Linked DNA regions of Drosophila melanogaster. The protein of the gene in region 2 interacts with the protein of the main gene of each other region in a pairwise test. Each region holds a gene or a part of one and is shown on either strand. Other genes may lie near its edges.

Region 1 (3,628 bases), 1.0 Mb from region 2:
TAATCTAATCTTGTATGTTATATACAAGATAATTTAGATTCTTTAAGAAATCTGTAAAAGGTAATTTGAGTTTTTTCTGACACTATAAATTTTATGGTGTGTTGTTAAGCAGGATCAGTGGCCGTATCCATCTACCCCTAACAGTAAAAAAAGGCAAATAGGATTTAAAGGCCGAGATCGCTTTGGACTAGGATTCGGTCATTATCCATATTCAGACCAGCCTAGAATTGGCCCTGATGGACTTGGAGTAAAGAAAATAAATCCTTATTCTTTGTCTGTGCAAACGTGCGCGCATAACATACATAAATACGAGAGCTAATTAAACGTCTGCATACCGACATTTGATAGATTGTCGACGAAAATAAAAGTTGAATAAAACATATATGTAATTTTTTGATATTTTCCTAGGTAAAACAAATTATTGGGGGCTTTAGAGGCACAATGATATTTTTTATTTCCCTGTGCAAATATTCCAATTTTTCTTGTTTTTATGTTGGCTCGCATGACATTATTTGATTAAAAGTGACAATTGTAAGCCTTGTTGGTATTGGAGTAATACCAACCGAGCTCCTAATGCTTTTGTACACTATGTATGTAGATGTTGGCATCCTGGGTGTCAACAATTCTGATCATAATGCTCACTGGCAGCTAGTCCCTCAGATTGCATACTAAGCAGAAAACCAGCGTGCGTACATAATTGGCGTGCCCTTGTCGCGCCAGTTATCGATAACTATTTCCTGCACAGTTAAACTGGAACGCAGTACGGCCAAAACAAAAAACTCATCAGTATTCAGGAGGCTGGGGGAACTGAGCTCTTGTTGTTAGCGCAAGTGCCAACTCATTGGCTTAGCTGTAAGCGTTGGGTGCTGTAATTGCAGCACGCGCTGCTGCTTTTCCCGGGGGCTAGGAACTGATGCTCCAGTAAGCACCTGACAACGTTGGCTGGTAAAAAGCTTCTGGCTACAGAAATAGCGATGCACTTGCCACAACGCAGTCTGTGTCGTCCGTATTTGGGGTCGCCCCAAGCTCCCACCCACCCAGTCCTACCCCTTAGGCCTTCCAACGAACACTAAGGCACATTTGTTATAATTATTTTTAAAGTGCACATATTTAATCAAGTGTGGATTGGGCTGCTATGCAGTAGCACTATGTATGCATGTCAAACAACTAATTAGAGCCCATTTCTTTCCTTTAAGGAATTCTTAATTCAACAGAAACAATGGTTTCGAGTTTAAGGCAAATCAAATTTTAAATAATATAAACGATACTTTAAGAATGAATATTTAAATATTTTTTGAAATTCCAATAGAAATTGGCAAATAATAAATTCAAATTAAATCGAAGTATTCAACTTTCTGAGCGTAACAATTTTTTGCAGATTTTGGGAGTGGTAATCAACTCGGCTGGTAATCTGCTTTGATCAAGAATGTATGTACAAAGGATAAAGTTAAGGATCGCTACCTTCTGTATATATACTAAGCGACAGTAAACCAAGTGTGCAGTTACTCAAGGAAAATTTTGTAGGAGATTCTGTAAATAAAATCCCTGTGAAAAACCCACCAAAGTTCAATGCACGAATCTTGACGCAGTTGCTGCGGTTCATTATTATATTGGTGTTTTGGCTAATTAAGTCATAAAATGGGAAACCCCAGACACGCACACAAACAAACACAAAATCAACGAAAAATTAATTTAAAAAAAGTATTAGATATTAGAAACACCTCTACTAACACTAGTCATATTGTAAACAGTCCAAATAGTTAGCCGCTACTAAAATCGAATAAAATCAAATTAAATTTTCAAAGTATACATACCACGTTCAAAAAGTATCCTAAGTGAATTAAATTTTATTAAATGAATACGCTCTTTGAACTATTCAATTCCGAACTCAGCAAAGTTACGTTGTTCATGAGAACATTAATTACTGTCGGTTATTAACTTTTAAACGTTTAGTAGTAGGCTTCGAGAGCCCTTTCATGGGTAGAGTTTAGTTTGTTTATCCTTAAATGTATTTCCACCACCGTAATCTCAAGCAAACACAACAAAAACACGAGAATTTCAAGTACGGAAAGCAACACATTAGAAGGACCAATGTGGAACGTATCCTCGATCCTGGAAGGGCTAGAGCATGAGCAAGGAGTAAACGCGGACCTCCGCGGCAAGAACGTGTTCAACTTGTGCGTGACCTTCTTGTGGATATTTCTGTGCATCTACGTCCTGTCCAAGCTAACCCAACTCGTGGAGCTCTTTCTGTGCCAGCGGCTACTTGGCCAGAAGCAATGGTACGACGTCCGCACGATCAAAAACGAGTGGGAGCAGACCCTCCAGCTTTATGAGGACGATAAAAGCCAGCTGGACGCACAGGTGCGCGAGTTGCGAGAAAAGAACCTGAGTATGGAGCGCTTGATGGTGGACCTGCGAGACTACAACATCCACTTGATCAGCGAAAACTATATGCTGTCCGTGATGCACGAACAGGTTAACAAAACAAACACAAAACAACCAACATATTTGAGAATCTATTGATCTTAAAATCGCGCGCAATATTATTTTCCATTCAAAGACACTGTTACACTGCTAGCCATGTTATGTAAAGATCTAATTGACCTCGAGACATGTAAAGTGTATTAACAATTCATTGTTCTTTGCTCAGAAACCAAGGCCGGCCGAGCCGAACATCTACATCACCAACAGCCACTTCCATCTCACTCGCCAGATGTTTCTGAACGATAGTCAAATCAATCTGAACGTCCATGACCATGGCGAGAAAGGAGCTTCCGGGGAGGGCAAAAATGTCTGGCTGCAGTATCTAAGGATGCGCAAGTGCTATATGAGCCCGATTGCCGATCCGAATTCGATAGATCCCAGCAGCACCACCAAGCAGATTCTCCCAATTGTTATGAGCACCGAGCAGTTGGCCGAATTGCAAGGTGAGTAAAGTAACAATTTGTGAGATGTTAATAATCGTTGTCTTTTTCTTAGGCATGATCTAGTTAGTTTTAAGTTATATGCAAACATAAATCTCGATTGTTGTATTGATCGCAAAGAAAAAAGCTCAAACAAATATATTTAAATTAATTGCTCTACTTTTCCATTGTTTTTAAACGGAAATAGCGCAAACCTCGGTCAAAACATTTGTCACTATCCTTGCAGTTAAGATAATTATGTTATTCTCACATGTTTGTTTTTCGATTTGAAACGTAGAATCTGTAGAATGATTACTGTTTGTAGCCTTTAAGCTGGAAATAAAAATTAGCTTAGTAATGTTATTTATTTCAATTCGATTCATATTCCAAATTCAATTTTAGCTCAGTGCTTTGGACCACAGATAATCGGTTTTATTTGCCTAACTACCTACCACCTACCGCCTCCCAATTTCCTAAACGCACCGCCCTCTCCTCCCTTCGATGGCCTTCGCGACAACATCTGGCGGAAACGAAACGAAAACAAAATGCAAAATATAGCTGTCTACCAGTCGGTCGTCTGTTTGTTCCAACTGCGACTGCTAAGACGATGACTTATCAAGGCAGAATTTAGCGATTGGTTCTTTAGCTTTCTTCTTCGTTCCCCCACTGTGCCAGAACTCTCCATTTTATTTTCTTTGCCATGGGGTCACTGGCAGTTATCG
Region 2 (4,555 bases):
TGCAACACTGCTCCAGAAACGATGCCATGTTGGAATTGAATTCTTTAAGACTGGTTCTCCAAATGCTGCTCCCATTTCGCCAGACTTTCCGGATCCAGCTTTTGGATAAGTACTTGGGCGATAATTCATCCAACGATTTGTGTCGTTGAGCCCATTCCATTTAGCGCGCGAATATGAGCGTTGAATTTATCACACAGTTTACAAAGCATTGAAACGGAACCATTCTGAACTGCCCTTGCCCTAGAATCTCAGTAATGTGTGCCTGGAATATTAAACAAACAGACAAATTCAATGCTATAGCATAGTTGCCATCCGATATTTCAAGTGCAGTGTCCCTCAGACATGTTCTTAGATGCTGCAACTTTTCTATGTTTGTTAGTTCAGGATGGCTATCTATTATCGTAGTAAACATAGAATAGAAGTCCAGCCAGATAGCTCGCCCAAGAGGGGGCAGCGACGTCCTATGCCGGAGTGCTACTTAATTGAAGTGTTAAAGCTTTAAACAGCTTTGCGAGCTTGTTGCAAATTATTGTTTATTAGCTGTTTTTGAGCAATGAAAAGACGAGTTTTGTGTAGCGATTTTGAACGATATGTTTAATAATAGCCGACATGTAAAAAAGATTTTGTCAAAACTTATACATGAGAAATGTTGTGTAAATTTTTGAGAAATTAATTGAAAAATGGTAACATTAAGGACAGTTGTTGAAATTAGGTACAATATTACCATTTGTAAGCGTATGTAAAACGAGCGGTAGAATAACAGTATATTATCGTATCATACGTTGAACGAACTGAGAGGCAGTTCAGTCGCGTAAAGTCAAAGCCAAGAATGTAGAAGGAAGCACATTGCCGCGCGGAGTCGCAATAAACAATCGGATGTCATCAAAAAAAGTGCAACCTGCAAAAACAATATATGGCAGTTAAGCATCTAATTATTCTTTATTATTCTTTGAACGAGCCGTATTCGGTAAGGAGAACCCGGTTTTCAATTAATAACGCCGAGTAAAATAAACTGTTTTAGTTATTTTATATTTATATTTTTTTATTTACCCGTTATTCAGCTAATGCCAGCTTTTGGCATAAATATTAATAAAATGAAAAATTGTTTGGCAGTTTAGGCGTAATGCGACAGTAGGTAAAATGTGCCTGTCATACCGTAAAAACAAGCGAGACAGATAATTGTTTTTATGAATTATTACAGTTTTTTGGTTTGGGTAAACCAAAAATTTGCAATTGTAAACTTATCAAGTTACTTTTACGCATGGGGTCAATCAGATACCTTTAATTTAAAAAATTGTAATATGGTGATAAAATGAATAACTTCATTTAAAAAGATTTTAAAATTTGTTTAATTTACATTATGTTGTGCTAAATCTTGAAACGGCTTGACTTAGAAAGTCTTTACCAAACTTCGGTCTTTGAAGTTAAATTAAATTATATAATTTCGAAGAAATTATTAGTCTTTTCCAAAATCCCACTCATTCCGCACATGACAAAAATCGTTACATGTCACAACACTGTTGATGTACGGTATAAGTGGATATACAAACAAATGAATGTTTTGTGCATCAAAGGTTCCTGAGTGATATTTTGCTTTATGTGTTGTTTTATTTTAATCATAGCAAATCGACAAGATAAAAGTAATGTAAGTTTCACAGGAACTGATAAATGAAATTCACACATATCTAACGTGGGAATTGATCAATTAATTATAAATATGGAATGTAAGAACATATGTATGTTCATATTTATAAACGTTAATCAGATAAAAATTTGAGATATGTGATAAAAATAATTATATGTGAAAACTTATCTGTACATATTGAACTTCATGTATTCAATCTCCTTGGATTGAATTTGTATGAGCGTACAAAAACACTATAAGAATATTAATTAGGAGTGAATCTGATATCACCAAAAATACATACATACGTAATTGCATACAATCTTAAAGATTTGTTGGAGAATATATTATAGGGAAGGAAGCGTTTCCCTAATGCATAAAGTATTTAAGCATATGTATATAAATAACTATATTATTGATCAGGATTACTAGACAAGTCGATCTGGCCATGGGCTTGCTTCAGTTATATGATTTTCGAATTTTTTTTTTATGAATAGTTCGTCGGTGCTGTAGCAACTTTTCATTTATTTTCTATTAACTTTAACAGTAAAGTTGAATCAATACGAAATTTTGGTTAGTATAAAAATTACATTTAAACCAAGACTGCATCACTACTTTTCTTTTAAAAGGTAATATGCAGGCTTAACTCAATGAAGGCGGCGCAAGCCGCTTTTACACTAGCATATTGTTAATTCACACAATGTAAAGTTTACTTTAACTTACTTCACTACATCCTTTAGTCATTCAGACTATACGCTATTTGTTATACTCGTTATACCCGTAGAGTAACAGGGTTCCTAGATCCGTTGAAAACTATGTAGCAGGAGGAAGGAAGCGTTTCCGACTATATAAAGTATATACAAACATATGTAAATACATATATTCTTGATCGAGACAATCTGACCATGTCCGTCTGTCCATATCAGCATCAAGATCAGCCAAAATGTTGAGATTCAGCATACAGATTCTAAAAACATAGACGCAGCGCAAGTTTGTGACCCATGTTGCCACGCAAACTCTAACGCCCACACACCACACAAAACTGTCAAGCCCACACTTTTAAAAAATGTGTTGATATTTTTTCACATTTTTTTTAGTCTTGTAAATTTCTATCGATTTACAAAAAAAAAATTTCTAACGCCCTTAAACCGCCAAAAACTGCCACGCCCACATTTTTGAACAAATTTCTGGATATTTTTCAATAATTTAATTAGTCTTGTAAATTTGTATCGATATGCCAAAAAACTTTTTGCCACGCCTAATCTAACGCCCTAAAACTTCCCCAAACTGTCACGCCCACACTTTAAAAAAATGTTTAGATTTTTTTTCATTTTTGTTTGTCTTGCCAATTTTTTATCGGTATACCAAAAACACCGTAACCACGCCTCCCCTTTTACCAACAAAACGGTCACGCCCACACTTTTAAACCATTTTTAAATCCTTTTTATTTTATCTTTATCTATCGATATCCCAAAAAATGTATGCAATTTTACGTTCGACTACAGCATTCTGTTTTGTTTTTCTCTCGATTTTTTGGTGCTGGCTCTAGAGATGGCTCCAGGCTCTCTCGAATGTTTGTTTAAGAGCCAGAGTGCGGAAAGATATACAGCCAGCTGCCCTCTTCGGCTGTCACTGTATGCGTAAGAATAAAGGAGACAATGATTGTTGGGTGCTTATGTTCGCACTTCGTGTCTCAAGAAATCATTTTTGCAATAAACAGTCAACGTATTTTTATATATTGTATATACAGTTTGTCAAGAAACTGTTTACACACTGTGAAATAAGTTGAATTTTTGACCTTAAAGGTAAAAATGTTCAAACGCTATTTTTTTATGAAATATATTTTTGTTTTACTTATAAATCAAAAAACAAATTATAAATATTAAATATAAAGAAAAGAATTTTGAGACTGTCAAGAAACTCTACGTTTTCTTTATGTGTTTAATGTATGTATGTATGTTTTTATTATTATTTAGAAATTTATTTTTTGAAATGTAATTTTTTTTTTAAATATTTCACATTGCAACTTTAAAAATTGATGTCGCAAAAGATGTCGTCAGTCCCGTTTTACATATTATTAATTATAAACACAAATTAAGATATGAAACATTTATATGAAACACTTTAAAAATCTAATAGTCAAGGCATACATGTTTAAATATTATTTGAGTAGATCATTTTGCAACGAAATTGCCCGAAACTCTAAATATGTTATATCGGATCTTAGATCAAAATTGATTTCTGCCCGAAAATCGTCTTCTAGCACAAGTACGCACACATACAAACATTCTCCAAAGACGCTAGTTATTCTAGTGTCTTTGCTTTCTCGTTTATTCTTTTAGCACACACAAGCAAGTGTATTATTTTTTTCGATTTTATACCGCTCTCAATTTTACTCAAGCGGAGAGAGAGCAATTTTGACCGTCAACAAAAAAGTGGCTGCATAGTGCAAAACCAATGAATGGCCGTTACGCATCTTGTAATTCTATTGTCTTTGCTTTAACTCGGTCTGTGAAATCAAAACAATAAGGAATTCAATAAGACAACTAGCTGTACAAGCTTTAGGAATGATACGAATAAAAGTGGTTGGCACGCTTTAAATAGCTTTTATGTCGAAATTTTTTTTTTTCGATTTTCCTTTTACTTGAAATCGATCGATACGCTAACTAAGTTTTGAAATATCTTCTTGCCTCGCATCTAAATATCGGATTCCTGGTTGTCTTGATAATCTGTGATTGTTCTGATTATTATATGATTAATATAATACTATATATATATATATATATATATATATACAGTATTGCTAGTATGTTTTCACATTAGTAAAAAAATATATCTTCATAATGTACTACCATAAGTAATAAATATTCAAATTTGCTTATATTCGATTCTTAAGTTTGAAAGCATTGGAAAAACAGTTTATATAAAACA

The links. Proteins that work in one complex are often made in the same cells at the same time.
Region 1: the proteins of gus (region 2) and CG14589 interact in a two-hybrid assay, tested with the Drosophila melanogaster proteins (one large-scale study listed by BioGRID).

Annotation. Positions count from the first base shown.
Region 1 is NT_033778.4:6,135,336-6,138,963, forward strand, and holds CG14589 (uncharacterized protein), read left to right. Parts: upstream 1-1,967; 5' UTR 1,968-2,091; coding exon 2,092-2,478; intron 2,479-2,653; coding exon 2,654-2,925; coding exon of another isoform or gene 2,926-2,930; intron 2,931-2,982; coding exon 2,983-3,073; 3' UTR 3,074-3,076; downstream 3,077-3,628.
Region 2 is NT_033778.4:5,125,316-5,129,870, reverse strand, and holds the start of gus (gustavus), read left to right. Parts: upstream 1-1,549; 5' UTR 1,550-1,645; intron 1,646-2,347; exon of another isoform or gene 2,348-2,468; intron 2,469-2,528; exon of another isoform or gene 2,529-2,622; intron 2,623-4,555. UniProt on the Drosophila melanogaster protein: Involved in the localization of vas to the posterior pole of the oocyte. Required maternally in the germ line for efficient primordial germ cell formation.